Linked DNA regions of Drosophila melanogaster. The protein of the gene in region 2 purifies or fractionates together with the protein of the main gene of each other region. This does not show direct contact. Each region holds a gene or a part of one and is shown on either strand. Other genes may lie near its edges.

What was found.
Region 1: the proteins of Df31 (region 2) and CG1532 purify together in Drosophila melanogaster (affinity purification with mass spectrometry, with the first as the bait; one large-scale study listed by BioGRID). This does not show direct contact.
Region 3: the proteins of Df31 (region 2) and CG30339 purify together in Drosophila melanogaster (affinity purification with mass spectrometry, with the first as the bait; one large-scale study listed by BioGRID). This does not show direct contact.
Region 4: the proteins of Df31 (region 2) and Fim purify together in Drosophila melanogaster (affinity purification with mass spectrometry, with the first as the bait; one large-scale study listed by BioGRID). This does not show direct contact.

Annotation. Positions count from the first base shown.
Region 1 is NC_004354.4:21,024,692-21,031,137, forward strand, and holds CG1532 (uncharacterized protein), read right to left. Parts: upstream 3,671-6,446; 5' UTR 3,585-3,670; coding exon 3,489-3,584; intron 3,262-3,488; coding exon 3,212-3,261; intron 3,154-3,211; coding exon 3,047-3,153; intron 2,331-3,046; coding exon 1,717-2,330; 3' UTR 1,434-1,716; downstream 1-1,433. Other genes in the region: r-cup (ryder cup), read right to left, coding at 1-7, 98-1,099; CG1529 (uncharacterized protein), read right to left, coding at 5,566-6,446.
Region 2 is NT_033779.5:21,624,401-21,632,286, forward strand, and holds Df31 (decondensation factor 31), read right to left. Parts: upstream 5,533-7,886; 5' UTR 5,293-5,532; coding exon 5,267-5,292; intron 4,577-5,266; exon of another isoform or gene 4,251-4,576; intron 4,187-4,250; exon of another isoform or gene 4,062-4,186; intron 3,810-4,061; coding exon 3,442-3,809; intron 3,358-3,441; coding exon 3,200-3,357; 3' UTR 1,909-3,199; downstream 1-1,908.
Region 3 is NT_033778.4:9,599,690-9,605,769, reverse strand, and holds CG30339 (uncharacterized protein), read left to right. Parts: upstream 1-2,868; 5' UTR 2,869-2,909; coding exon 2,910-3,208; intron 3,209-3,270; coding exon 3,271-3,643; intron 3,644-4,029; coding exon 4,030-4,284; 3' UTR 4,285-4,339; downstream 4,340-6,080. Other genes in the region: CG1902 (uncharacterized protein), read right to left, coding at 828-1,100, 1,159-1,525, 1,590-1,888; CG30340 (uncharacterized protein), read left to right, coding at 4,559-4,585, 4,639-5,268, 5,328-5,861.
Region 4 is NC_004354.4:17,285,012-17,294,950, forward strand, and holds Fim (fimbrin), read right to left. Parts: upstream 6,659-9,939; 5' UTR 6,318-6,658; coding exon 6,240-6,317; intron 4,027-6,239; coding exon 2,916-4,026; intron 2,524-2,915; coding exon 2,245-2,523; intron 2,180-2,244; coding exon 1,926-2,179; intron 1,866-1,925; coding exon 1,662-1,865; 3' UTR 693-1,661; downstream 1-692.

The DNA.
Region 1 (6,446 bases), on a different chromosome or scaffold from region 2:
GCAGGCGCTATAATTAATGTGGTTAGTTATTTTAAACTAGCTGGTTTCGCTTTTACCTGGCATAGGTGGAATATGTAACCCACCAGCCGTAGCTCACCTTGATATCATTCCGCCCCCGCAGCACCTTAATGGTCCGCAGGATGCTCACCATGTTTCGCCTGGTTTGGTACTGGATCCGGAACAAGTTCGCATCCCGCATGCGAGCCTCTATCTGGGGATTCCGATGGAAGTACTCCTTGTACATGGGTCTCCTTGCCTGGAGCATCCGTGTGAAGGTCTTAAGGCGCTGGAACGCATACTCAAGATACTTGGTGCGGTCCGCCGAGGAGCCGAAATGATTGTCTAGAAGACAGTTGGGATGCCGGCGAAGTGTTTTCAGAAAGAAAAAATCGGTCCAGCTGCGACCCAAATAGTTCTGATAAAATATTTTGGTCTTGCGACGCCTGCGCTCTCTTTCCAGTGGGGAGAGCATCACCTCCTTGCGATCGATCCTGCTCTGGACATCACACTCCTTTCGCTCCTTGAGGATTTTCCACAGCGGCCGCCTGTCGGCCCTTCGAAGCTCCTCCTGCTGATGGGCATAGAAGCCGGGCAGCTGCGCGGAATGCTCCATGAAGAAGTTGGCCAGGCTGAAGCCCGTGCAATCCTTGAGATTCTCATCGACTACCACGAGGCGATTCTCGAAGCTCTTTAGAGCGGTGCCCGCATGCCGACGGACATTGTCGTGCAGCAGGCTCTTGTTCTCCTCAAACCGATTCAAATCGTAGAGCGCATCTCCGAGCTCCATGGACACATTTGCGTCCCACGCCTGCCTTACCTCCATGGCCCTCAAGCTATCCTCCAATGCGTCCTGCGTCAGGGCCACCGATCTCTTGAATTTGCTGCGCAGATAAAGAGCCTTGTGATCCGTGCTCTCATTCTCTGTGATGCATTTGTCGAAGTACTTCTGGGCAAAGGTGTTCTTCCGCATCCGCGCAAAGTACTGGCCCCAACTGCGGTAGATCCAACGCTGCTGCTCCGTCGGCCAGTCGAACGTTTCCCAAGACTTCAGATTTGCCACCAAAAGGCCTGCCGGCGCCGATTGACTCGAGTCCTTCATTCTGCACCAACGTCTCCTTGTCGCTCAAGTAAAAAAAAAATAAAAATAAATTCAGGAAACACCCTAAAAAAATAAATGCTACAAAAAACGAAATCGAAACCAATTTGTCTCTTCTAAAACTGAAATGAAAATGAAAGGAAAATCCCGAGCACGTTGTTAGGATCATAAAAATAATACTTAAGTACGCAATACTTAATAAAATATATGTGTTCCAAATCAAGAATACATATACTTGAAATCCTTTTCGCTAGTAAGGACCAATTAAGCGGATTTATGACCATCTGTTTGTTTAGTCGAATTAAAAACCACAATAGCTGATATCAGGATGTCTTTTCACCTCGTTTAAAGGTGTTTTTGATTGATTCAATACTAGAAAAGCTAAAATACTTCTTATAACAAAGAAAAATAAGTCCCATACGCACGCTTAATTTTATCGACAGTTTATGTAATAAAATATATGTATGTTGTAAAACAAGAACGAGCGTAGGTGATGTTTTACAATGTTTTAAAAAGTATAATATCTCCGTTGAAAACAGCCATTAACCATTAGACAATACAAAATCCAAATACAAAAGGTGCTGTGTACAAATAACAGTGCTCAAGGATTGCTGGGAAAGTCATTTCGGTTGGAAGGGATCCTTTTCGATGTTTCGATCCAGTCGCTTATCGCCATCGGACTCCACCTGAGATAGCTGGCCGAAGCCCTCCTCGTCGACAAAGCAGATCTCATGACCATCGGGGTCACCGAGAATTACCACCGTAACGGTGGCCTTTCCTGGCGTATCCAGGGTAATCAGAGGTGTTAGAATGGCCCCGCCAGCTGCTTTAACCGCTTCTTGGAGAGGTGGCTGCTGGGCCGCCGGAATGGCAAAGGCGATTCGTCCATAGGCCTTAGCTCTATTAATTGGCTCTGAGATCTGGGTGATCTCCAGTGAAGCCTGCTGTTCACCGTAACTCAAACGCACGCTTGCTTCGTTCTCCTCGAGAACTTTCAGTTGCAGCAAATCGTGCCAGTATTTGCGCGAGTTTTGAAGATTGCTCACATTAAGCTCCACCGATTGGACAGGATCAGAGCTGGCAGAGGCCTGATCGATCACATAGAACTTGTAGCCATCGGGCGAGGTCAGCAGACTACCGGCTTTTCCAGACACCTGTGTCACAGGATACGAGTGCTCGGCGGCGCGGGAAAGGATATCCTTGGAGTGTATGGTCACGCCCCCAAAATCATTGCCTGAATCGAAAAGAATAAGTATCGATTAACAGGATTTATAAGTGTTAAAATTAACTTGGGAATTAATACAAAGGGAATCATTAAGTAGTATATTTCAATTACTGTACTGTACTTTTTCAAACATCTTCAAACATTCAACTCACATACTTTCGTTTTTAGTTCATTTTGTGATAGACAGAAATCTTCATCGCGGTTTTAACTAGAATGACTGATAGATTTCGACCTACTTATAGATAACTATTTCCGTATTCATAAAGAAAAAGATTAATAACCTACTATCTTTACGTACTTAAGACAAGTCACTTATCGAATAGCTATTATTAGTGAAACACTTAATTATGAAGTTGTCGAAGATAGAATAACTCATTTGTACTTTAAGATAAGCCATCCCAATTTTACTAGTGTTAGATTAAATATTTTGGATTATAACTCGGTAATCATTTATAGGGTTGTACATTTTTTCAAATTTCCAGAAATGTGTACATATGACTGCTCAAAGCTTAAATATGCGATTTAGCCTACCATCACTGAAGTTTCAAACTTTTTCAACTCTCAATTCTTATTAAAAACGCTTTAATGCCTGATAAAATAAATAGGTATTTTAGGATGATATTACTTAGCCGCTGTAAGGGTTAAAACGTTCCCGCTTGTTAGCTTGCACTCAGGACTTTTAATCCTCATGTGAGCCTAACATTTTTATCCGGTATGTGTCTTACCCATTTCGTAGCTGCTCACTCCATAGTTATACGTGAGTTCGATGACGAAATGCGAACTTTCGGGTCCATAACCCACCATTGTTTTGCTCCACCGATTGTCATAGGGCCTGTGAAGGATTAACACTACCAGTTAGTCCTGTCGCAACACTCCGAAATAGCACTCACCCGTTGCAAGCTGCGTCGCATCCCTCCTTGAACTCCTCATGCCGCAGCACCTGTTGCCGTGCGAACGAGCGGGATGGCGATAGAAGGGAGCAAAAACGATGAGAGAAAAATGAAATTTTAACACAGTCATTATATGACATTATCGGGCATCTGGGCTTTTTAATTAGCAGCCGCGCGTCGTTGACACGTTGTCCAGATAAAACTACAGCCAGACACAACAGCCTGCGATAAGGAAGTCTGCCGATTTCTGGCGATACGCCCGCCACACCCAGCTTACCGTCATTCCCAAGATTTGCCGAAAGAAGAAGGCGTTTTTCGCCCGATCTCCGATTTTGAACACATAGTGCAGGGCGCGTCCCGATATGGCCGACATCTTTGTGTTTATCAGCTGGCGTTTATTCAGCAAGTGCTTTCCGATCGAATTTCGGCCTTGTTTATGTACATTCCGTTTCAGTGTGGCCGTGCGCAGAACAGCAAATATTCCCAGCGACGGGAGCTTTTGGAAGTATCGATATTTTTTAGTTTAGACTAAATAATAATAAATTTAAATACACTGTAAGTTTTAAATTATAAAGTGCGCTTTTTGCTGATTGACATCTACGAGGAAAAAACTAATGACTATCGCACCTTCAAAAAACGAATATCGGAATTTACCTTTTGTGACACAAAATTTTACACTTGACAAATACACTTTAAAAAAAGAGTATATCCAAAATGTTGTCACAAAAGTCCTTCCATGAAAAGCAATTATCGTCAACAGTTTTATTAGGCACTTAAAATATGGAGTAAGCGAGCATATAAAACGTATAAAATACGAAGTAAGCGAACATATAAAACTATTTAATACATTGTAGTAGCAAGGATAAAATGTCGTGAAAGTAAGATATTTAAAAATTTTCGCTAATGCGTCCTAGCCACATTTGCATGATAGTTCATTGGATATACACTACGCGTCATCAGATTAGCGCCCCCTGCATGGCTCCGTTCATTTTTATTTTCTGGTTTTGCCATTGCACGAAAATTCATCAATGTTGTTGTTTTTTGTTCACTGACATTCCCTCTCTCCTTGAGGATAAAAAAAAGGTCCTAAGGTAAGGACAACAAAATTTGTTATGCTGTTGAATTGAAAAGTTTGCTTTAAGAGGAACCCTGTTATCCCTGCAGGAAATATACAATATCATAGCATTCTATTAATGCTCATAATCATAAAATTTCAGAAAACCCGCCAGATGTCGCAACCCTATAATAAACTTTATTCAAAAGAACGAAACTTATGGAAAAAAAAAATAATGGTGGCAATAACCTTGTCTTTACCGCGGCAGATCGCAGGTCCATACTTCGAATACCTCCCAATTCCCACGACTTCTCCGCCAAAATTCGAGAAAAAGTGTTGAAAACCAGATCAAATCTTTGATTCAAATGGTGATTAAGACAGCTAAACATAAAACACGAAAAACTGAAAATAAAACCACCTCTCAATAAGTTGCGAAAAAAAGCGGGTCTGAGTTTTGCTCGAGCTCATTTGACTTGGTCTAAGGAGTGGCGTCGTATTTTCGGACAAGAAGAAATTTAATCTGGAGAAACCAGACGGCTTTTTTCATTACTATTATGATTTGCGTACATTTTGGATCGCTGTCACAGTCGGGTTATAGGTAAATTGCAGTTTTAAACACCAAAAATGAACGCAAAAGATTATAATTCAAAACTGCATTTCCCTACTTTAGAAACGTTTTTGGAAATTTAGAATGACATTTTCAAATTGACAGTGTCTCAATCCACACTGCACGTTTGGCAAAAACATGGATTCCATACTACTACCACCATACTACTACTATATAATAGATAACGTGTGGGTATGGTTGGCTAGGAAGGTATACGAGGGTGGTAAACAATATGCCACTCAAAACGAATCGTTCACCGGAATAAAACTCGATTGGTCTGCGATTACTTTGGATTACCTACAAAAAAAATATATGATTCCCTTTCCAGACGAATGTGTGAAGTCCATAATTTCCTTTAAAAATATTCTAATTTAAATATTTAAGTGTTAATCATCCCAATTTCTTTCGAAATGAATCGAACCAACTTAAATTATCTTAGGGGGCGTTATCCTGATAACCCAATTTTAATTAACCCATTTATGGATTTTTTTTTTACTTAAATAAAAATCTATAAACAAGAAACTGCATCCTATATAAATTTTACATTTATAGAATTGTTCAACGTTTGAATGAAAAGCAATTTTCAAAACTCTAGCTTTAACAGTTTTCTAAATATCTCAAATCAAAGATTTTTGCTCAAGGGGCGCTAACCTGATGTATGTAACCGGACGTATATGGATAGGTTATAGTTGATCATAAGGCTTTCGAAGGGATAGGTTTGTAGTCATGGAAATGCCCTTCCAGTCGCGCCGAGTCTTGCGATTCTGCGTCCTGCTCTATTTTGTGCTGCCATTCCGGATCGAGTGCATCTTCCTGCTCTAGCTTGCACTGACTTGCCTCCAGCGGATCCGGTTCCGGATCGTAGGACTCTTGACCTTGTTGACACTCATTTGGCCGCTGGCTTGTCTGCATGGTCACCTCATTTCGGTGGCTTTCCCTGGAGAGATCTCTCTGCCGTAGCTTTTCCCCCTTGCGGAGCTGATCCTGTTGAGCTTCCCGAGCGCCCTGCTCCTGATCGCGGTCGTGCTCCTGCTCCTGCTCCTGACTCTCCCGACTGTGCTCCCTTCGTTTTCTGTGCGTCTTTCTCGCGCGGTGCCTTCGTAGGTGCAACTCAAGGGTTTGTCGCGAAACGCAAGGCTTCTGGCAGTGAATACAGGCAAAGGGCCATTCCTCGGCTGCCTCTCCCGAGCCCGTGGATTCCGTGTGCAGCCGCTCGTGCCGCACCTGCGAGGCATGCGTGCCAAACTTTTTCTCGCAATGACCGCACTGGAACCGCCGCTGACCCTCGTGGACCACCCGAACATGCCGGCTAATGGCGCTCTTGTGGCGAAAGAGCTGCGGACACTGCTCGCACTTGAAGCGCTCCCAGGTGGGATTGTGGGTGCGCAGGTGGGTCAGTAGCTCCGTTCGGGTCACCTTGGCCACTCCACAGTGCTCGCACACGTGCTCCTTGCGCTGGGCATGACGCTTTAAATGCTCGCCCAAGGCATTCTTTGTGCTGTACTGCCGGTTGCACAGCTCGCAGATTAGGTCGCGCAGCTCCTGCTGCAGTTGCTCCAGCTGTGGATGGGCGT
Region 2 (7,886 bases):
CGTAATGAAAAGTAAATGCCTGTTTTCTATCAAATAGGATTTTATTTACTAAGGGGAAATACGTGGTCTATTGATGTTTATTCCACACCATTACAAGATTATTCTGACATTTAGTTATTTTAGAAAAATTTTTTCTGACCTCAGATTTGACATACGATATTTTGCCGTCGGCAACAATTTTCGATTAAGACGTCACCAAAAGTTATCGCGAAGGTTGCCGTACTGTTGGTGAAACGAATAAGGCAAGTAAAACACTTGTATAATATATAAAAGAATTCATTAATAAATTTAAAGGAGGGACAAACGTGCTGATCGTAAATAATGCTATTTAATTTAATTACATAAATGGACAATGTCCAGTAAAAAAGTAATTGCGAACAACGGAATTAAAACTGTAAGGAAGGTGGCTGCTCTATTGTTTGGAAAACAGTTAAATAGCTGTTTTCTGTTTACAAAACATTCCAATAGCAAACATTTTGCAAAAACCAGAGCAGACTTAAAAACGAAATCAAAAGATTTGGCCACGATTTGCTACGATTAACGCAGCATTACTGATAGAAATTAACAAAACAAGCAGTGAAATAAAAAGACCCCAAAAAAATGTCGAAACTGTGGGCATGACAATATGCTCTGCGAAGGAAAATAAATTGAACATAAAAACAACAGAGAATGCTATAGTCTAGAAATTGGCAAGACAAACCAAACTTGCGCTGCGTCTGTGTCTCTAGAATCTGTATGCTTAATCTCAACGCAGCTTTTATAGTTCCTGAAATCTCGACGTTCATACGGCCGACAAAATATCTTATAAAATACATGCTTAATAATATGAGTACGTAAATATTTTCTTACCTGCGTTGCAAACTTATGAATAAAATCAATCATGTTTAAAAAGATTTCCACTCCTACAAGCCGACAAAAAATCGCGCGCCCACACCTTTGATAAAGATTTTTGGCATTTATTTTTTTTGGCTAGACTATTGATTCTGACAAAAAATAAAAAAAAAAACGTTACCTGATAAAATCTTTTCAAATAATCTTGTCTACGGATAAAGGGTAAAATAGGGTAAAGACTAGTATAAATTGGTATCCAGAAGGATTGGAAGATGGAACACTTCCCAGAGATTTATCGAAATTAATTTTGCAGAAACAACTGGGAAACAACTGTCAAATACTTGGGTATCTATCACGTTAGACAATAGGCTAAAATTCAAAGATCACATAAGTGACACAATCGAACAACTTAAAGCCATTATCTGCTCGCTTTATCCATTTATAAACATAAATTCCAGATAAAACATTGAAAACAAAATGTTCTGTTCAGGTCAATCTTCCAAGCACTATCTTTTTACGGTGCTCCAGTATGGTCAGAAATGGCCAAATGTCACATTAACCTGCTACAAATCAGACAAAACAAAATATTAAAACTAATCTTTAATCACCCTTGGCATCACTCAACAGCTCATTTACATAACCGAGCCAATATTGAAGTGGTTTATAATAGATTAATAAGATTGTCCCAAAATTTCTCTATTAAATGTCAAGAGGCTGTGCACCAGCATATAAATGATTTGACCTATCCACCTTAATTGTAATTTTTAGATAATAGCCTTTTTTAAGTGCTTAGATTTTTTTTCAATTACATAAAATTTTTTTCCCAATCGGTATAATATTTTCATTATCATATTATTCATATTGATATTAATATCTAAGTAGATAAGGTTTAATTATTGGCCTGTACTCTTATTATTGTTAAGGTTAAAATAAAAAAAAATTGGATGTCATTAAGCGTGAAATAAATGAAATGAAATAAAATTTTGCGGAGTTTATTCTTCATGTAATTTTAGCTAAAGTGTGAACTGTAGATTTGCCGTGTTTGTTTTACAGGCTTCTTAATTGACGTAAATATATGGGATATAATGTCATGAGTCAAGAGATTATCAAATATTAAATTTTCTGATTAAAATTAAACGAAAGTCCAAAAATACAAAAAAAAAAACAACTTACCGTAGGCAAAATAGTAATACTATTTGTAACGTTCTGTGTCGAAATCATATTACCTAAAATAGTTTACTTTCCACTAATATGTACTTGGACCGCACCCTACCAAGAAAATAATAATTTCTACTATTGGCGACAGCTGTTATTTGTGCGAATACAAACATGCTCAAATTAATAAAAGTTACGCTTACAGTTTGATTTTAATTTTTACGTTTCATTTTATTTTTTAATAATCTCGAATCTTGATTTTGCTGAATGCTGGATTTACTGGCCATTACCTTTCCTGCCCATTAAATCGTTGTTAAACATTGAACATTAATGAGAGTTTCGTCGCAGACTATTTCGTAGGCTTAGACAAGTAAATAAAATGTAATTGGGAATGTGAAATAGGTGGTACCTTGATTACAAATAAAAAAGGTACGATTTCGAAAGCATTTTAAAAATAAACATTTCAGAGTATTGCTGTAAAAGTTGTTTTTCGTACTTTTTATTGTTTCTATGTGGTAGTATTTTTTTAGCCGGTTGGCATACATTTTTCTGGGGTTGTTGCTGGCAGCTTTTTGTTACATTTTACTGAATTTTTAGTTTTACTTTGTTCGATATAAATATTCATACTCAAAAATAAGATACGGTTGTAAAATTAAAAATTGTAAAGGATTACATATGTTATTTTGCCGTAATTGTTTTGATGTTTTTCTTACTTAAAGATTTTGTTTGCAATTTGTTTCATTCGCTTCGTATTTTTTTTTACAATTATTAAATTTGACGCTTTTGTTTACAACTTTTATTCTTAAAACATAGAGGGTCTCGCATCTTAATTTCGCTTAATATTGTTCTCTTAATCCTTCGCTTTATATATATATATACTTTGCTTTAAAGTTAAGATTTTAAGTAAGTTTTTAAATAATAATGGATTTTTTGTTTTCGTTTGTTGCCGGTATTGTTGGTTGGTAGGTTGTTTGTTAGTAGAGAGAGAGAGAACCGGTACGCTATAAAACTACGCTCCCATTGCCGGATTGTTATTGGAGAATTGCGCCCGCCACCCAAGCAGCCACCCACGTATCACCCGCTCACAAGAGCGGAAAATGGATACAGTCCGGGTTCCTGGCGGTAGAACCGTAATTTCTGTGATTTGCTTTTTTTGTGTTAGTAAGTATTTAATAAGTAGATTACTGAGTTTGCTGCTCCGCGGGCGATTCCCTTAGGCGGCCACTTCGCTAGCCTCGGCCCCATTCTGAACCTCATCCTTTGTGCTGGCCTCATCAAGCTTAGCCTTTTTCTCCGGCGTGGCGACGGCCTCATCTGCCTTGGCTGCAGCCTCATCCACCTTCCGCTTTACAGCCTCAATGGCGGGAGCATCTGTAAGGCGATAATAAAAATTGAACAATAAGAACATGAACGTGGAAAATTTGTTTGGCATTGATATCATTGATATCATCATACCTGTTGAGTCACCGTTGGTGACCTCCTCGGAGCCATTCTCGACAGCAGGTAGAACAGCTTCGCTGCTCTCTTTTTTGGTGTCCTCCCCATCGGCAGCGGAATCCTCTTTTTTATCCTCGTCCTTCTTCTCATCCTTATCGGCGGCAAAAGAAACAGTGGGCTCAGACGCCTTTTCACCATCGACTGCGTCGGTGGGCTCGGTCGCGCTGCTGTCGGCGGCTCCGTTCTCCTTGGCTACGCTCTCCTCTTCGGCGCCACCGTTTTCTGTGATGCTCGCCTTCTCAGCTGCTACCTCCTCGGCGGCAACTGCATCTTTCTTCACAGCATCAACTTCCTCAGCTGCGACCTTCTCGACAACAGGGGTCTCACTGTGGGTGATAATCAGAGACGAAAGTCAGTATGCACTTATAATTTTTTCCGAAGGTGGCCGAACTGAACTTCGTATGCATAGCATTCTACTACATACAAAACTCTAAACAGTAAATCAATTAAAAATTATCAAAAACTAAAACTATTAATTATTAATTAATTAAATATTAATTGAATTTAAAAAAAAAAAAGAAAAATTTCAATATAGCGCCGGTAGGTAACGTTTATGTTTTCATCCTCCACTTTCTATTCATAAGAGCCCCAGGACGTTCGGAATTAAAACTAAAAAAAAAGTGCATTGTTACATCTGCCGGCGTTTTTCAAAAATGGGATCAACAACTCGTGCAAGCTGCGACGCAAAAGGAAGCGCGAAAAGGTGAGTGCGATTAGGCGGCACGCTCTTTTTCATATAAATGGCATATATTCATTTGTTATTTCAGTGCTCTCTACCAACAGATGAGAACAGGGTAGAACCAAAAACACGCTTGCAGACGTGCAAAATGAAAAGCGAGACCCGTTTAAACTAAAACGAACAAAGATAGAAATAAAAACCAGTTTTAATGGGATTAATGACAATATAGTCGTTTCTCTCGCACTCATCTACCAACAGATACTCGCCATCTGAGGTAGATAGAATTCTATAGGGCGAACAAAAAGAGAGTTGCAAAGTAGCAACGCTAAACGACAAAAATAACGGTCCAAACGATACAAACAGTAGCATAACGTCATACAACCTGCGTCTTTCAAAGAAAACCGGAACAGCCTTAGGCATGAGTTTTGTTTTGTTATGTATTATAAGCTGCAACATATAATAACTACTTAAAAAAAATATATACATAAGTGTTCATCGATAGGGAAAGAGGGAGTATTTTTGGTAATGCCAATATAGATATGCGTGAAAATTTATACTGTTAATTTCAAGCTTCGAGCTTTAAGCTATCAAATGGGTATAAAAGGCAAGCCTCGAAATTTGATGTCTGGTGAGAAACGCAGCAAAGCAACATACGAGGTAGCACAGACAGATGAAATGAAACAGCACAAGAAAAGAGCGGCAACTTGAATGCTGCACACGCATACACACACACATGTCTATAGACTTTTGCGCATTTGGCCTGTCGTCCGCATACACTCAACGCATTACTCCGCCGCTACACACACACACACAAATAATTCATCGTTGCTGTTTGCCGGCCGGAGAAAGAGCGAGAAGGCACCATGACGCCGCGCCAAATTAAACGGCGTCGGTTTTTGCGCGCACACCGTTTTGCCTTTGGCGGGAACGAGACAACTACATTAGTGCCAACAAGCGGTTTGCGTATATAGACACAGAATTCAAAAGAAAATTTCCAAATCTTTTCGGCAAATAACATAGATTTTCATTAGCAAAATTCGCTACAAGTCCATTGCTTAAACAAAATCCACAAACGTCCGAAAACAAGGCAAGCAAAGTACTCACTTCTTTTGCTCAGCCACATCAGCCATTTTGAATTACTGTTAGATATTACTTTTCAAACGCGAAGCGAGAAAACACGTTGTAACTGAGGGTTTTTGGATCACCAAGCACGCCTTAAATATCAGCACAAAGATTTTAAAAGAACGAAATTTTATCAATATAGTTTCCTCTTTAGTAGCTTTGCTAAGAAAGTAGCTTGGTTGCTGGAGATTTTGCCGTACAATTAAGAACGTCCACACAGTCACAAAGAAAAACGCCGAATGAGAGAGCGGTGAGCGTCGGACCGGCTTTTAAAGCGCCGCCCTGTAGTGTTGGTAGACGTCGGTAGTCCGCTTGCGATAGTTCCGCCTCCGGAAAACATATCTTTGTTTGTTATCGTTATCACCCGTTCTCTATTTAATTCGGAGTTAGCTTATGCTGATAGATTTTTACAATTTTATTTTAATATATTAAAGAGATGAAATATAGCAGTGACAAATATTTCAAAATAACGGTCCCCTAAAAAGGGCTGCCACCTTTTAACTATTATTTAGCGGCTACACAAATATAGCAGGTAAAATATTCAAATGCATTCCTATCCTTGTTTTTCTCATTGACCTGAGTGATTTTTCGTGTAATACACCTTCCCAATTCTAAGTTTTTTTTTTGATCCGGTACTCCTAAAAATTAAATAAACAAACACACAAACATGTATGTTCATATATATATATATACACATATCGTCATTTTTAAAAAATTCAAGCTTTTTATTAAATTACATCAATCAATTTCCTTGTAAATTACACAGTCTACAAGATCTTAAAAATAATATCTTAAAGATATGTCATATGTATGTAATCAAACACATAAAACCGACGGAAATAATCCTCACCCCTCTGAAAACATTTTCAGGTAGTCAGATATGCACGCATAAGTACGTACATACATACATATGTATAGTGGCCTTGTCTGCGTCCCTTGATCGGTATAATAGAAAAAAGAATTAGAGTGCGCTACCAGGCAGCTGGTAAATTTTCTGCTTCACTAAAATTTTACAATATTTTAGGCTATTGGCAAGGAAAACAATACACTAGGACTGAGATTCCATTGCCGAAGAACATAGACGCTATTATACATACATATAATTACAAGTTTTCAATTTTCATAAGTCAACATTTAATTTTAGGTCTCATGCTAAACTCCACTTATTGATCTATATTGATTGACGATCAATCCTCGGTCTCGAGCTTTTTTAATATGGACTTTGGGCTGTAAAATTTTAATGGGCTTTTGCAAAGACACTAGAATAATCTAGTGTCTTTGGCTTTTGGAGTGAAGTGCATTCGCTCTTGGATACAAGCGCTATTAGATTTTTAAGATTTTATTTATTGAAATTCAAACTTTTGCTTTCGAGCTTGTGAGTGTCGGCTTGGAACGTGAAAACATGCTGATTTAATAAAATTGGACAACGGATGTTTGCTTTACAGGTGGGTGATTTGTTTCGGGTTTTCGATTTCATCGTCTGTAAAATTTTGGGTTTATTCCATTTAGCCTTGCTTTGGGGTTGTTTCTTGTTTCTAAAATATAATTATAGGAACGAGGCATTCGTTTGTATTGAAAAGTCTTTACTTCATATAGAACCAAACATGGTTTAAAGATTGCCGTCAAGGAAAGTATGACTTCCGAAATCCGAAGGGCATCTCCCAAAATTTCGAGAATTAGCTTTTGAAACTTTCGACACGATATTCTAAGGCGATATATCGACCAATAATTAAAGAAAACAGATTTTTCCGCGACGCAGGAAATTGGGCACTACTGGTCTAAGGTTAATATTCTCAACCATTTTGAAATCCCCTTGAACGCACAAAAAAGATTGAATTCAAATCAGTTATGCTCTAATGTCTAAGTTCGCAGCAAAGAATTATATACGTAGATAAGCACGTACATATCAATGAAGATACCTATATTCTTGAACAGAACAAAATTATATTTTCATCACAAAAGATGATTTCAGAGCAGTAAAGGTGTCATCGTTACTAGTTTTTTTACATCGTTGAGGCGGGCTTTGATTTGAAATCAGTAGATTTTTTTAAGGAAAAAAATCAACGGATCTATTTACTAAATTCATAATTTGTGGTATTTAAAAAATAACATTTAGAAAAATAGACTTGGAAATGCCTTTTTTTTATTCTGAATAAAATTCTTTGGTCCCCAAATTACTTACTAATGTATAAAAAGTATAACGTAAATATCTCTTACTCATGTTTGTATACTATGTTTAGTGGACATCAATAAATGCAACAGAACTCTACTATGAAAAATTAACCAATTTTTTTCTGAAGCGTTATTTACATTCTGTAAGGCATTTAATCAGTGTGGCTTGCATTATGAGTAAGTGAGTGGCAAAAGCAAAAAAAATGTTCAACCCAAAATTCGATAAAAATATAAATTGCCATACATAAGCATTTTTAAAGCCGCGAAACCGGCCACGTCCACACTTTTGAACAATTTTTAAATTTTGTCGAATTTTTTCCTAATAAATTTCTCCGTTCTGAAGTTATTAATTTTGGCCAGAAAAAGTGGTTAGGTTTCCCATAGTGCAGTCCACCCCGACACACTCACACAGGCGCTGTCAAATAGCAGC
Region 3 (6,080 bases), on a different chromosome or scaffold from region 2:
GATTTCACTTATCGGAATCTCAGTTCAAACAGCGATATGTCAACCAGTCATCAAGAACCACAAAGCGTTTATCTCGACCAGATAAACACATTACCCTTACCCCATTTATGAAGAAGGCAACCCCAAGTAATACCATTTATGTTTTAGTTATACCGACATTTAAACAAATTCGCTTTAATTTATTAACGCACTCAACATGGGGTCTACAGTACATTGTCACATTTAAATATAGTCATTTAACTATGTATGTATTATCCATAAATATAGAGATGCATGTATATGTATGTGTAAACTAGTATCAAAAATTAGTAAAAACGACACTTAACCAACTGAAAAATTATCCAAAATATATATGTATGCTCATGTACCGTATTTATAAAAGTATGCGATAAAATCAAAGCCAACAACAACTTAGCACGCAAGTAGAAGACGTTGAAGATTTCATCATGAAAATGCATTATGGGATCATGGTAGAATGAATCGTTCGACCGGACGTTAGAATGTGTATAAGTATGTGCGTGGATAAGGACAGCAATAAATTAAAATCGACAAACTTGTGAGGTTTTTGTGCCATTTGATGGCGATCCATTTGCTTCTTATTTCGTTTTAGTGTGCACTTGTCGTCTATAATATTGTTCAATTTGCTTTTAGTTTCGATGTTCCTCCCTTATGGTTTCATTTATAAAATATCAGGTTCTGCTATGACCAAAGATCGCTTTAGCGCTGTAGTGTCTATACATTCCAGTGTGTATATATCGGGCTGTGTGTTAAATGGGTGTTCTATAGGATGTGCATCAGAATATACAACTAACTGCCCGATCATTGACTCAATCGAAGTTAATCATTCGGAAGGTTCCGTCGTTCGGAACGTCGGTTACTAACGGAGCACCCCTTTCCTGATCCTTCTCACTGGCTTCCCGCAATTTCTCATCCACGCCATATCGCTCGTCTTCCGTGAAGTACGGGGAAAAGCTTAGCAGCTGGGTCTCGTAGCGCGTCATTGCATCAGACAAAGATCCATTATCGCCGCCCATTTCCACGGGTAAATACTCCAATCCAATTGCCTTTCGCAGAGACGCGACGGTGGAGTGAATGTGCAACTGTAGGAAGGGTAGCAAAGAGTTAGTGGTTCTGCATCGATTTTCCCTTTGAACTCACCAGCTCCTTTTGCTTCATGACATTCCGAACCAGTCCAAGGACAAACTGCGTCTCCCTGGATGCATTGACAATGTGCGTGGCCACTAAATTCGCTGGAATTCCATGCTCTAGGAATGCATTCATCCGCTTGAACATGCCAGGATCGAACTGCAGTAGCAGAGAGTAGGGTATCTTGGTGAAGTCGATGATCTCCACCACGCCGGCTATGTTCCAGTTGTCGTCCGTGTTGATCTCGATCTCAGCGCGAAAAGCGTGGAAGCGGAAAATGTCGCTGACACTGTGCTTGGAAGGTTCAATGTGACCCATTCGTGTGTAGTGGATGCGGGGGCCACCAGGGCCAATAGGTTTGGGCAATGTGGCGAATATTCTGCAAAAGAACAAGTTTTTCTATAACACCCACCTCCAGAAAATGAGGGGGGTCCCCGCCTTACCCTGAACGAGCCAGTTCTATCAGCTTATCGTCCACCTGGCGACCCTTGAGCAGTTCTCTTTCCTTTGATTTGTAGGTGTAGTAGAAGAGTACCCTCTTCTTGGCCTCCTCTACGTCCCAGCGGCAGAAGCGCAGAAAGGCCACCAAGAACTGATCGTCGGTCCGCGCCTCCAGGTAGATCTGTTTGTCGATCCAGGTCCTTAGCGCCTCGATCTTCGCAACCGTCGAGGACGGATCCTCGCAGAGCTGCGTTCGAGCCACCTCTGCCAGCTCCGGCTCCAGCGATCGTATCTTGGCCATGGTCACAGGGAATCTGCAAATCGATCGATACTTGTCTTAATTTTGAGATACGATACCGAAGGCTTGGAGTGTGCTAAGGTGTGTGTGTTCTCTCGCCAGGTGCGAACACGACTAACAGAAAAGTTTGCGCCCGCCTGCTTGGACTGGGTTACCGATTCTGATCGGTTCGGGAACCCTCCCGGATTCGATAGCGGGCACACTGGTGCAGAAGAACGCGAAAAACACTACGGCACGGAGCAAACTCACAATGACAAACCATTTGAGCACCAGATTATGTGATATCAGTGGCCGATAGAGCAAACACAAATAGCAATGTTATGTGAATATGATAAGTGCACTGGAAAATACATTTGCACCTTACTGGTTTCGTATTGGTAATCTCAATTTTGTAATGCTAGTATAAAGTTTAAAAAATTTTATTTATATAGGATGATATATATTTGGATATTTTTAGTATACTTCTTAAGCAATCCAGCCTTAAAATTGCGATTTCATTGCGATTTAAAGATGATAATCGATTTTTTACACCCCCGATAAATAATAAATTGTTCAATCAACTTATATCTTTAAAAAAAAATACACCCACTTGATATGTCATTAACTTTTAAACCCCATAATTGGGTAATTCCTGCCAACTGTGCTTTTCCGATCCGGTGATAAGATACGATCTGCATACTCACAACCGTTTGAATTGTGGCGTATTTCTATCCACAGAGTCAACTGCTTCTTCGCCAGCTGCACGCTTACACGCCATAGATGCAGTGGAGCCGTAATCTTATCTCCTCCGAGGAGAGACTTCGACCGCCTACACCCAAAAGATCGGGTTGGATTTGATGGGCCGTCGGAGCAAAAGAGAGTGGTGGAAATGGTCGTGTCCGCTATCAACTGAATGAGTGGCCATAAAGGCAGCTCAGATTAGCTTTTAACGGTTCCGTTTCGGCCCGGGGATTTTGGCCGCCGTGCGATTAGGAAGAGCGTTTAGTAGCCGTCCAGCCGCCACGAAGCAAGCGACTTCCCAAAAATGGCCAATCTGCGTCCCCTGAGCGCCGAACTTCGTCGCATTGCTGAAACGGAGCTAAACGAAGTGGAGGAGCGAGTGCCCGCGGATCTGAAAGCTCTTCGGGATTGGTTGGCCAAGCAACCTCATCTGAGGGCCCGCCAGGATGACCAGTTCCTAGTTGGCTTCTTGCGAGGCTGCAAGTTTAGCCTGGAGAAGACCAAGTCCAAGCTGGATCACTTTTATACTATTAAGACGCTTATGCCTGAGCTCTTCGGCAAAAGATTGGTGGACGAAAGGAACCTAATCTTGTGCAGATCTGGGTGAGTTAAAAGGCGCTCATCAAGGATATTTAAAAACTTAAGAAACTTAAATTTCTATTTAGAACCTATGTTCGATTGCCCAAACCTTGGGGAACCGATGGCCCCCGCCTGCAGCTTACGAACTATGAGAAATTCGACCCTAAGGAATTCAAGTTATTGGATCTCTTCCGCTACCAAACCATGATAACGGAACAGTCAATCCGTGAGGATGACCACAGCAACATTAGCGGCTACGTCGAGATCGTTGACATGGCCAAAATGAGCCTCAGTTTTCTGGCCCAACTGGATTTCACGCTCATCAAAAGGATGGGAATATTCGCTGAGAAGGCACAGCCCACTCGCTTGAAAGGAGTCCATCTGATCAATTGCCCCAAGGAGGGAGTGGCGTTACTGAATTTGGCCAAGAGCCTAATGCCCAGCAAGCTCCAGCAGCGGGTGAGTAGGCAAGAATAATTGAATAGTCGTAGCCACTCTAGCTAATTTATTTTCGTTCCCTTATCGGACACTTCAACGAGATTATCAGCTGGTCTAGCAGGCAGCTGATAGGCGTTGAAGAGCTGTGGCACTCTCTCACCCCTGAACTATTAATTAATATTTCACAAATCAGAGCCACTAACTTTCGAGCTGGGTCCGCATACTGTGAAATACTGTGTGTGGAGCAGCATTGCCTAAGGTCAGTTGACCACGCACATGGGCTCTTATCATTGAAACACTGGGCCGAGTTTTAAGATACGGGGGGAAGGTGCAAGTAGATATATCAGCGAATAGGAGAATAATCTATTTCCCTGACTCATCACACACATGGCTCTCTACTTTTTCAGTTTCACGTGTATAAAAATCTCGAGCAATTAAACGAGGTGATACCACGCGAATACCTGCCGGAAGAATATGGTGGCAACAATGGACGTATAGCCGACATTCAGGCGGAAGCGGAGAAGAAATTGCTGTCCTATGAGAGCTATTTTGCTGAGGATTCCCAGTACGGAGTGGATGAGCAGCTGCGGCCTGGAAAGCGTGTTAATGCGGATTCAATTTTTGGCGCTGAGGGATCCTTCCGAAAACTCGACATCGATTAAAGTCGGAACGTGTTTTAATTAGTATTCAATAAAAGGCAAAAACAATCCTCAAAACAACTAACTAGACTTCTCATGAGAATCGCCGAGAGCGACGCGACAGATGGCCAAATCGCAGAGCCATTAGCTTTTAGCGAGCACTATCTGTGACACTTGTTAATAGCATTGTCAATCACCTAACTAACTAAATGAAGTGGGATCAAGTGTTGGTCATGTTAATTTGACGAACGCTTAGGCAGTTCCTCTGCAAAAGGCGTCGAAGCAGGAATCCAACGGAATGGCTTCGGTTTCCAGCAGCGACGATGTTAGTAATGAGTAAGATTTTCATTTCACCGTAGTTATACCTTTTTCATTTAGTTTGACTTCGGCAAATGGGACTTCCCAGCCGAGCGCATCTGGCTGCACAAGCCCAATGGGGAGATCACCTGGAAGATCTGCACTTTTCTACCACTGATTGCTTTTGGTCTGTATGGAAACTTCAGCATGGTTTATGTGATAGCCACCAACCGTTCTTTGCGCTCGCCCACCAACTTGATTATTGCAAATATGGCCGTTGCGGATCTACTGACCCTGGCCATTTGTCCTGCCATGTTCATGGTGAACGACTTCTATCAGAACTACCAGTTGGGATGCGTGGGCTGCAAGCTGGAGGGCTTTTTGGTGGTGGTCTTCCTCATCACAGCCGTGCTCAATCTCTCGGTAGTCAGCTACGATCGTCTCACGGCCATCGTGCTGCCAATGGAGACGCGCCTCACCATAAGGGGCGTCCAGATAGTGGTGGTCTGCACCTGGGTCTCGGGTATCCTATTGGCATCACCATTGGCTTTCTATCGCTCTTACAGGGTGCGAGTGTGGAAGAACTTTACGGAGCGATATTGCAAGGAGAACACCTCTGTGCTGCCCAAGTACTGGTATGTTCTGATCACCATTCTGGTGTGGCTGCCATTAGGCATCATGCTTATCTGCTACATAGCCATATTTTATAAGGTAAGCAAAGAAAGTGTGCTCATCCTGGATTTTTAACTAATAAGCCAACTCAAAAACAGCTTGATCGGTATGAAAAGCGGGTCCTAAGTCGCGAGAACCCGCTGACAGTGAGCTATAAACGCAGCGTGGCCAAGACACTGTTCATTGTGGTCGTTGTCTTTGCAGCTCTACGACTGCCCTTTACAATCCTGGTTGTACTACGGGAAAAATACTTCGGTGAAGATGTCTCTGTCAGCAGTGGAATGCAGCTATTCTGGTACATATCACAGTATTTGATGTTTCTGAACGCCGCCGTCAATCCGCTGATCTATGGCTTCAACAATGAGAACTTTAGAAGGGCCTACTACCAAATTTCTTGGGTTCGCCGATGGCGAGACGCCACCCAAATGAAGAAGTTTTCTCGATCACCAGACCACTGCTGCTACTGTGCCTTTATGAAGAATGGAAAACGAACCTCAGAGGCAGCACAAAAGGCAGGAAATTTAGAAAAAGACATAAGCAAGGATATGTCGTCGGCACAACAATCGGCCAAGTCAACGAAGATAGTTGAAAATGAATTTGTATCAGAAATCGAGGCAGACGGATTTATATAAAAGAAATTTAAGAGAAACAAATAATACATTTAAAAGCCAATGTACCAAAATACGAACTTCTCTCTGCTCTAATACACCCACTATGATATAGGGTACCAAACATATGACAATCATACTAAATAAAGCTTTAAGAACCGTAAAATATCATGGCCGGTAGTAAAAGTTATTTTGCAACCAGTGCACGTGTTACAGTTTGAATGTTTCGTTTTGTATAGTTTA
Region 4 (9,939 bases), on a different chromosome or scaffold from region 2:
TTAAATCTGTTTTGACAAGTCTACCAACTCAAGCCAAATTGTTTATACTCTTCTGCCTCAGGGCGATTTGCAGATTAAATGCACGGTGGCCTTTAATCACACCATTTTCACAAGTTTCAATTACAATCGCCGGTCATTCGATTCGTATTTCACATACGGATTCCCATGAATGACATAGTTTGCTTCACCGCAAGTCTTACGTCGTCATCATCGCTGGACAAAAGTCAGTTGACTTCATTGAAGTGCCCTACGATTTGATTTGCTAGCCACGTGAGAAGCGCCATATCTGATAAGCTGGCCGATTAGATGGAAGGTTCGAAATACGAAAATCGTCTCATAGAGGGGACCGTATCGATAAGGATTTATACACGCTTAGCATTAACTTATTCGCCTTTCATATCTACAATACGTCTGATTGTTTCCAGGAAACGATAATTTCATTGGCGAACATAAGAGGTGCACGGTATAGCATTAGTCATCAATGTTCTCATTGATCACATATTAAAAAAAAAAACACACAGATGATACAACCTGTGACCTGTCAACGTTTCGGTAAAAGTTTATGACACAAAGTGTATAAATTGACAGAACAATATAACTATTAATGTGCAGCGCCATGAAAATATCTCCCAAGACTTTATGTTGATAACTTCACAGAATTATGACTTATTAAGTGAAACGGCTTTTATATTGGTATTTTTATTTTCTTTATTGTTTTACTTTTATTCTGCATATAATATTACTTCATCTTCTTCTTAATTCGTTTTTTCTCTTGGATTTGTATGTCGCCTCATTGCACTAAAAATGTTTGTTGCCCTCTCTTTCTACGCCGTGTTGGCGATACCTATTGCCACCTCGCTCTAACGCACTTAAACGCAAAATTATACAAATATGTAAAAAGAAATTGAACAAACACGCACGTTGAAAAAAAAACACATAAACAAAGGCGTCTTACAATTACTCGCAAAAAAATTTATAGTAAATATAAAATTAGTTTCTCTGTTTTTCTCGACTTCTTTTGTTTCTGAATATTCCCCATTCCTGATCTTCGTTCGTTATCTTTCTTTAGGCAACGCGTTTATGGAAAAATATATCGATTTATGTAAATTTATATGTTATGTATATAGACGCATATCGTAATCGTATATAAATATATATGTATATATATTACAGAGTTAATTGTTTTCGTCGCAATGTTAATATTATAATTCTTTCTTAATCCTGCACAAGTCGCTTTTTTTTTCTTTCTTTTGTTTCACCATTCTTTTCTTTTAAGGATTTTAAGCGGAACAAGCTAAACCTTTATTTATAAAATAAGGTTACAGTTGTATAATTAATCAATTGTTAAACAAAACTAATTAAGAAACACCCCGCCGGGCTCGAAAACAGATGTGCGACACTCTAAAATCTGTTTGCTTAATTACAATAGGGGGAAACTCATACTCAATTATATAATATATAAATATATAATAAAAAAATTACAAAAAGTAATTGAAATAAAAAAAAAACACAAAAATGTATTGGTAGCGCAGGAAGGAACGCAATCGAATAGAGTTATTAGTAATTAGCGAATACGACAAATTTACGTAGTTCCCACTCTGTTCTTCCCTTTCAAAATCCCATCCTTTTGTTTATGTATAAATGAGTTGTGGCTATGGCGCCTAATTGCTGTTGTTGGCGGAGCTGTTGTGGTTGTTCTGGTCCACACTGTCCATGTTGGGCACGTAGTCGAGGGCCATCATGCAGGCGAAAACGGTCATCACCATTTTCGGCTTCACCTCGGTGATGTCCTCGGGCAGGGCGTAGACACGGGCGCCGATCTTGCGGGCCATGGAGATGGCATACTTGGCATTGGCCAGGTTATCCTGCGGAATCAATAAGCGCTAGTTTAGTCTGCCACATATCATGACATAGTCAGGACTCACCTCCTGTGTTCCGCTAGTGCGCACCAACTCGTAGTTAATGCTGCCCTCCTTGATGGCATCGATCAGATCGATCACGATCTTGCCATCGGCGATGGCCGGATCGTTGAAGTTACGCAGCTGCGACTGTTTGCCTGCCTCCGACAGTCGGTTATTCACCCACTGGACGATCTCCTTCTCGATAATGGGGTTGCCAGTGTTGGCCAAGCGGGACAGAATGGACAGGGTGTAGGCACGCATAAGCTGCCAGATGAGAGCTGTAACCATAAGATAGTTCAGAATTGGTAACATCCAAAAATACAATTAGAATAGCAATGCTTACCCAACGTCAGCGTGGCATTGCCATCGTTTAGATCCTGGCCTGCGATTCCGACCAGCGAGAATTTGAGCTGCTTGCCCAGATCCACCGCATAGTTGCAGTTCTCCAGCTTTTCCATGAACTTGCGCAGCGGGCTGAAACGCTTGTGCACACGGCTCCAGTTGACAATACCCGGCTTGATGACGTCGAACAGCTGGAAAATGACCAGACCATCGGCCAAATCGGAGTAAAGCCAGTTCACGTGCGGTGCCACGCCCATTGAGTTCATCCAATTGCGGTAGGCTAGATAGAAAAATAGAAATGATTGGTGTAAGTTAAATATTTTCCAAATATGTATATAACACCTGAGTATTATAATTCTAAGTAATCGTATTCTTATAAGTACACATATATTATTGTATTATATTCTTATATTCTTCTTGTGATAAATGGTCTTGCGAGCTAAAAATTCCCGGTTTTTATGGCTTGCACTTCTTGTGCAAAGCCGATTGATAAACATATATATTTATAATTGCTTTAATTATGCTATATAAGTGGCAGTTGATATCTACATTTTTTTTATAAGAAACCCTGGATTTTTCCTGATCAACTTTGATTTCTTGTGTTTAATTTTCAATTAAATAAAAACGGTATTTTGTACCGATCTTACGTATGGCTAAATATTAAGTACTTACTCTTCTCTTCGCGCGTCTCCTCAATGGACTCGAGTCCCTCGATCTGCTCGGGCTTGTCCAATCCTGGATGGTTGTTGAACAGATTAGCCACGAAGGCTAGATTGAGTTTGTAGACTCCGTTGACGACATCCTGTGGCGTGAGGAAGCTGCGGCAGTTGAGCTTGGCGGCCTGCTGCAACATGATCTCCGCGCGCGACTGCAGATCGGATTCCCGCAGGGCATCCAGATTGACATCAGCATCATTGCCGGCAATTTGCTTCAGCAAATGCGAATAGATCTCAGAATCGACGATGTCCGACTGGAAGTTGGTGCACCGCCTCGAGATGCCGGCTCGCTCCAAATGATGGTTGACCCAACGCAAAAGGATGGCCTCCGGCGACATCTTCATCAGATCCTCGAGACGTTCGTTGTCGAAGAGTAGGCCAGCCAATCCCGGACAGCTGTCCAGGGTGATGTGGCTAAACAGACCGATGCGGATGATCTGCCAGAGAAGACCCAGCACCAGATGTGGCTTGCCCTTGGCCAGATCGTGGGCATCGATGTTTACGATGTTGCATCCAATCGCCTGGGAGGAAACCAAGGCCAGGGTCAAGTTCTCAAACTCCCGGTAGACGGTGAGGTTCTTCTTGTTGATCGCACGCTCATCGATTGTGTCCGGGCAGGAGTGGTTGATAATTTTGCACAGCAGAATACCATCCTTGATGCTCAGATACAAGCGCTTGCCCTCGCTATCGATGGGCAGCAGATGTTGCAGATCCTTGTCGTGGCCCAGATTCGAGTTAATCCAGTCGGAGAAGGCCAGCTGCTCCTCGAGGCGCACCGAATGGGTGGTGCCCTCCGACGAAATGCTCGACATGCCGCCCAGGGTCTCCAAGTTCTCCTTCTTGGAGACGACCGTCTTGAATGTGCTGGCCACATCCTTGCTCTTCAGGTCCAGGCACAGTGCCTCGAACTCCTCCAGATTCAATTTGCCCTGGAAGGCAGTCAGCTGTTTGCCCTTGTACTCGTCAATCATTTCGCGCACCTGGTAGCCGGCCAGCTTGAAGCCCACCTGGTTGAGGGCATCCTTTAGCTCGTGCAGATCGATGAAGCCATCTTTGTTGGCATCCAACTACAAGAAGGAGAGGGATTTTAATTAGTATTGGTTTAAAACAATTTGCAAAAACTATTAGATCTAGACAGTTTTCATTAACATTGGCATAAACATTATTGACCTTTCCTGAGGCATAAACTTAATTTCTGGCCTTCTCGGAACTCAAAATGACTTAAGGGGCACACCAATACAAATTGAATACAGGAAAGATCCATGAGTAATCCCCGGTCATGAGTAAGTTGTCCGCCGCCTATTGCCACGATCGATCTGTGAGTCATCAATCAAATCCGAAAGCCAAACACACAGCCGCATTCCAGTGCCTGTTTTATCTGCGGAATTCGGAATGCAAAATGCTATATTCCATCTCCCGCAACCTTATCGCTATATTGTCTGTGTGCCAGCCTTATCGAATTTAATTTCCATTTTTCAGTTTTCAGTTCGAGGGGTCTTATCTCCCACCTGACTGACATATCGCTGATTATCGAAAATTGTTCGCTTCAATTTATACAGTTCAAAAGCGTGAGTGGGCGCCACAGAAAATAAGAGAAAATATACAAAAAAAAAAAAAAAAAAGAACTAAAGAAGTGAAAGCCTGAACGAATGAATCAGTTTGTAAACACTTGAGATTCGGACCCGACTTGATTATTTCTTGCAAAGTTTAATGACTAAGAGGTGGCCACTTTAAATACTAATTTTAATCTAGCTGGGATTCCTTTAACAGATTTACATATAAGAGCTATATAATTAAACAGTCCAGTCAATTCGATATATTATTATATGGGTTTCACCACTTTACTTAGATTTATTAGTCATATTTAATGGTTTAAACGCGATTTTTGGTCAAAATGCTTGAAATAATTTAGATTAGATAAGCTTTTATTGTTGGCATCGAAGGGAAATATTTATGTTTATGGTTTAAGTTGTTACAAAATGAAAAATTAAATTAACAAATGCGAACCCGTTTGTTTAAAACTATAATAGCATTGAAAACGGTGGCTGATCTATGTTGCAGTGTATACTATCTTTTTAAACTTACTGAGAACTAACCTAACTCAATAATATTAAGGTTAAATTATTTGGAAACATAACATTTTAACGTGTAATAATGTATTATAAGTACTTTTTCTTAATAAAATATAATAATTTTGGAATATGTTTTGAAAATATTCCCAGCTGATATGTTTAATATTCCACATAAAATCATATTGTAGCTTAGTCCTCAACTATGCCACAGTTTAATAAGCTTGAAGTTAGTTAGTTTTGCTCCAAATTGTTGCGATTTCCATGGGTACCCCCCAATTCGAAATATCGAAATTGGTGAAAACCCAAGTATTCAGCCGGACGGTATAATAAAACGTTCGACATTTTCGCCATATTCGGTGTGCGAAATAGGACAAATCTGAGGGGAAAAGGGGCAGTTGGATCGGCTGATATACTGGACTGTGGAATTTATGGCTCACTGGTTGGTAACTCGGTTTAGTAGTGGTGCGTTGATTGCTCCGCTTTTGCTGTTTGTCGATAAGATAAATTTCTGTGCGCCAAAAAATGAACATAAAAAATCGAAAGCAGCACACGATTACGTGTATGGTAATGATATGATAGGTGGTTCACGGGTTTTCGCGGGGGGAAAACCGTTAAGCCAACGAGGGTGTTGTCCTTGGCCAAAAGAGAGACTATCAAGCGGACTGATAGCTGGGATATTCTTTTGGCCAACATTTGACTGACATCGAACGGAAGTGATTCTGATTTTCGCCATAATTTCGGGGGGAGGTCTGTAGTGGGTCAGTTTGAAGCGCGTGCACTTTATCGGAGGTGTTCACTGTAAAGGCCCCTCTTATTGGCATTGGGTATTGGTATGCGTGGCACCTGTCGGTGTTATCGATTAAAAAGCTATAAAGTGCTCCGAGAAAAGTTGATAGGGCAGAAAAATAAAGAGGGCGAAAAAAAAACACAGACACACCAAAATCGAGAGGGAGTGATTACGTGAATTGTGGGTCATAAAAAATTCAAAATTAGCGTTTTAAAGGCTGTTCAACTCAAGACTCTCAATTTAAAAACGAAGTTTTTTTTAAGTATGTGAGGAATTTAAAAATTAACATCCGTATTCAATTTTTCAAAGATGCTTTAATGCGATATCTTCCTTATATGCGTTCCTAATTGCATATTTTTGTATGGTATAGTTGTTTGCTTTAGCGGTTATCCACTGTAGTCGAGACCGTGGCGCCACCTACGTTGGGAATGAGCTCCTCGAGATTCTGCTTGAACTCCTGAACCGTTTGGTGCTGCTCCACGTTGAGAATATCGGCCATTATTCCAATGTATGTTTGCACGCGGAATTAATTTTATTATTTACGATATTCCTTCTGGTTTTCGTTGCGAAAACAAACAAACAACAAAAAATTAATTGATTTGCACACAGTAAGTACACAACACACGCACAAACGCGTCAGAAAGAGAGTGGGTGGTGCGCGAGCGGAAGAGATCTCCAATTGATCGGGAGAGAGCGAAAGAAAGTCGGCGCGAGAGAGCCAAGGATGCGAGCTTTAATTAAATATTTCTTGTAACTACTCCTTGCTTTCTTCCTCGTTCTTCGTTCTTCTTTCTTTTTTGGCTGATTCGCTTTCCACGGGCTATTGTTGAGTACTAATTGAGTGGTTCAGTGGAACGGACTATTTATGCCTTTTCTTTTATCACAAAAAAACAGAGGCAAAAAACAGCACTCCAATCGAACGGAGCCTTATCAGTAAATGAGAGAGTAAAAGAGGGGAGAAGCCGTGCAAAGAGAGGCAGACGAACACCTTTAGAAAACGCGTCATCCTGTATCGCTAAAAAAAAACTATGATAAAAAGTTACTTAGTTTCAAAAACGGCAAAGTAAAAGGTTCAGTAAATGTGCAGAAATCATCTATAAAGAAACATTGTTAGGTATATATTTTAATTTTCTCCTGGAAGGGACAAGATCCAGTTCCCTCCTTACTTTATTTCTTTCAATGATATTAGCCATTCTCTTTTGCTCTCTCCCAGGTGCAACAATACAGCAGGGTTGCCAAGTCGCCATAAAATGCGGGGTGATTATAACATACAAACAGCAACATATCGCAGCATAATTTAAAATATTTATTTCGTAATCTCTTATTTGTTTATCATTTTTTACATGTGAATAAATCGTTAAACTGTACACCATGAATGTACAAACGTGACGTAGATCAAGTGATTCAGCTTATAAGAAATTATGCAAGCTGTATGAATCGTTGCCTGGATAGTTAAATTTAGTTTTAGTTCATATTTCAGTTGATTCACTTGTCAATTTTCGGTCTCTAGCGTGACGTGGCAGCCCTATTCGCAACACTCTCAAAAGTCCGAAATCGCTTTCAACAAATTGCTTACGCATCGAAAAGTTTTCGTTTAAATGCAATACTACTTGGCGGGTGAACTTATAGAGAGATAATGGGAAAATGAGTGTAAAAAGTACCTGAGAGAGGGACACGGTATTTAAACGTAATTGGTTTTTTAATAGCCATTATATCAGCGAGGGAATTATGTGGCAATTGTCATTTCGGTTAGGTTATAACTTGTACAACATAAATCTAATTCCAGCCAAGATAATAAAAGTTCGAAGCGCGATAAGACAAGGAAATGCGACAATAAACGTTTAGAACTTCCTTCGAACATAAAAACCAGGGGGTTAACGTAAAACTTTAAAGGATCTTGTGTTCAGAAAAAGTCCTCAAGACTGCCAAAATATCTTAAAAAAAATAAGCTTTGCAGATAATAAAAATCGAATAGTTTAAGAGCACACTTTCCCCAGTGTAGTTATGCACAGTGGCCAGTAGTGTTATCGATCAGTTACTCGCGATGACTAATCGCTGGACATACAAAGGCTTTTGTTGTTTGCTTGTAAGTGTCGCCGCTCCTCGATCGACCGATATTTCGAATTAAAGAGAATAAGCCCAGCTGAGCAAACGCATCTTTTGTTATAAAACAGTTGTTGTTACATAATACTATCCACAAGTTTGAGCAAGAGCAGCTGGGCTTAGTCCTATAGGTAATGCTATCAGATTGGTTGCAATCGAAAATGTTGTGCTAAGTACATATATACATATTTATATTACAATATATCTGATATATGTATGTAAATCTATCGGTCGTTAACCTTTCTAAACAGTTTACTGTTTCCCCTCGATAATTACTCCAAATTGCAATAATTTAACAAATATTTACCTCATAAGATGAGTTTATTGTACTTCAATTCACAAAATATATTGCACTTAATTAGCACCTGTAGTACGCCTACCATTTCATTGATTGGAACGCGTTCATTTACACATTTAAATTTGTTAAAAGCCACTTTCAAGTATCTTATTTACTGGCAGTAAGAAATCAAACACCAGAACCGCACACGCCTGACCCCAAGCAACTTTCTACGGGTTCACTTTTGGTGTCACCGATGTTTGCCAACCCTTCACCTATGTACACTCGAAAAAAAGGGCATTAAACAGCAATTTGTTTTTATTTTATATACTTATATGTAGTTTTCCTATAAAGATTATATTATTTTAGTTATGGTTTGAGATCCTGAAAAAAGTCATAAATTAAAAACCTTTTTTATCTAATAGCTAGTTTTATTTGTCCAAGTGTAAGATTTCTTTTTTTTTACCCAGAAGAGAACCTAGGCGGCAATCATAATTATGACAAACAACGCGCGAAATTTTTGTTAATGAACGTTTTTCCTTGTATTTTGTTGTTTATTTTTTCAGTTTGTTGTTTTTATTTTTTTCGAGCGTCAATGTTTGCGCCGCTATTCGGAGCTTAGTCACTGTCATTTAAAGGCAATTTACGGCAAATGAAGTTCATTAGCAGCGGCGAAAAATTCGAGAAAGAAGCAAAAACAAAATGCTAAGCGGTCTTTATAGTTTTTAAAGTTTTGTTTGCCGCGGCTTTTAGGGGGAAAAATGTTTGAGTGACGTAATTGTAGATGTCACCTGGCCGAGAAAACGGAAAACATCAAGTATTTGTGCCACTTTTTTCGCTTTCGTTGAACCGGTTTTCGAGTCCAAAAACTGTCATTTCGTATGCCCGGCACGACAATTGGAATTAGCCTAGCTTTTGCATATCAAGTAATGCCGTGCGATAGTGCAACTACGGTTTTTTAATTCCCCACCCCTTCATCACCTTCCCCACGCTTCACAATCCAACCCATTCCACCCACTTATTCAGTGTGTCGCGACCTCGACAACAAAGGCAGCATTACATCAACATCAGCAGCAACAATAAAAAGCATACACAAATAAACAGCAACAATACAACGCGCGCTGATTAAACGTGAGTCAACAACGTTCAGCATTCGAAACATGTTAATCAGCATTGTTTGATAGATATACTCATACCGCTTTATGCATACGACGAGTATAAGACCCCCAAAAGTACCCACAAAGTACCCAAGTGCGCCCCTCCTTTGACCCCGCTGCTGCCCTGGAGGTCGAAGTGGGCTATAAGAAGTGGCTGTTCGAATCGAATCGAATACAGTCAAGGGAAATCAATTGAACAAAAATTAATAATGCGCCCATGCCTATGCCGATGTTGGCGATAATAATGATGATATGCTAGATAGTTGTTTACCGTTGCACGGCCGTAAAAAAGACCACCAATAGATACTTTACGAGCGTGCACCCCACAAAAGTGGAAACATATTCTATATTATATTTATTTCAGCACAAAAAGATTAAACTGATGATTTTTCGTATACGTGCATTTTTGAGATACAATTAAAGCAATAACGATCTTAACAAAGCAAAATACCACTGATCTACTAAATAATTTTGAACTCTGTGAAGATCTTATAATATAAATATTTATCCGAATATTATCATTTTGCATAACTTTCACGAATTTAGTTTGAATTGTCTTATTTTATACAACTTGTTTGGTTTAA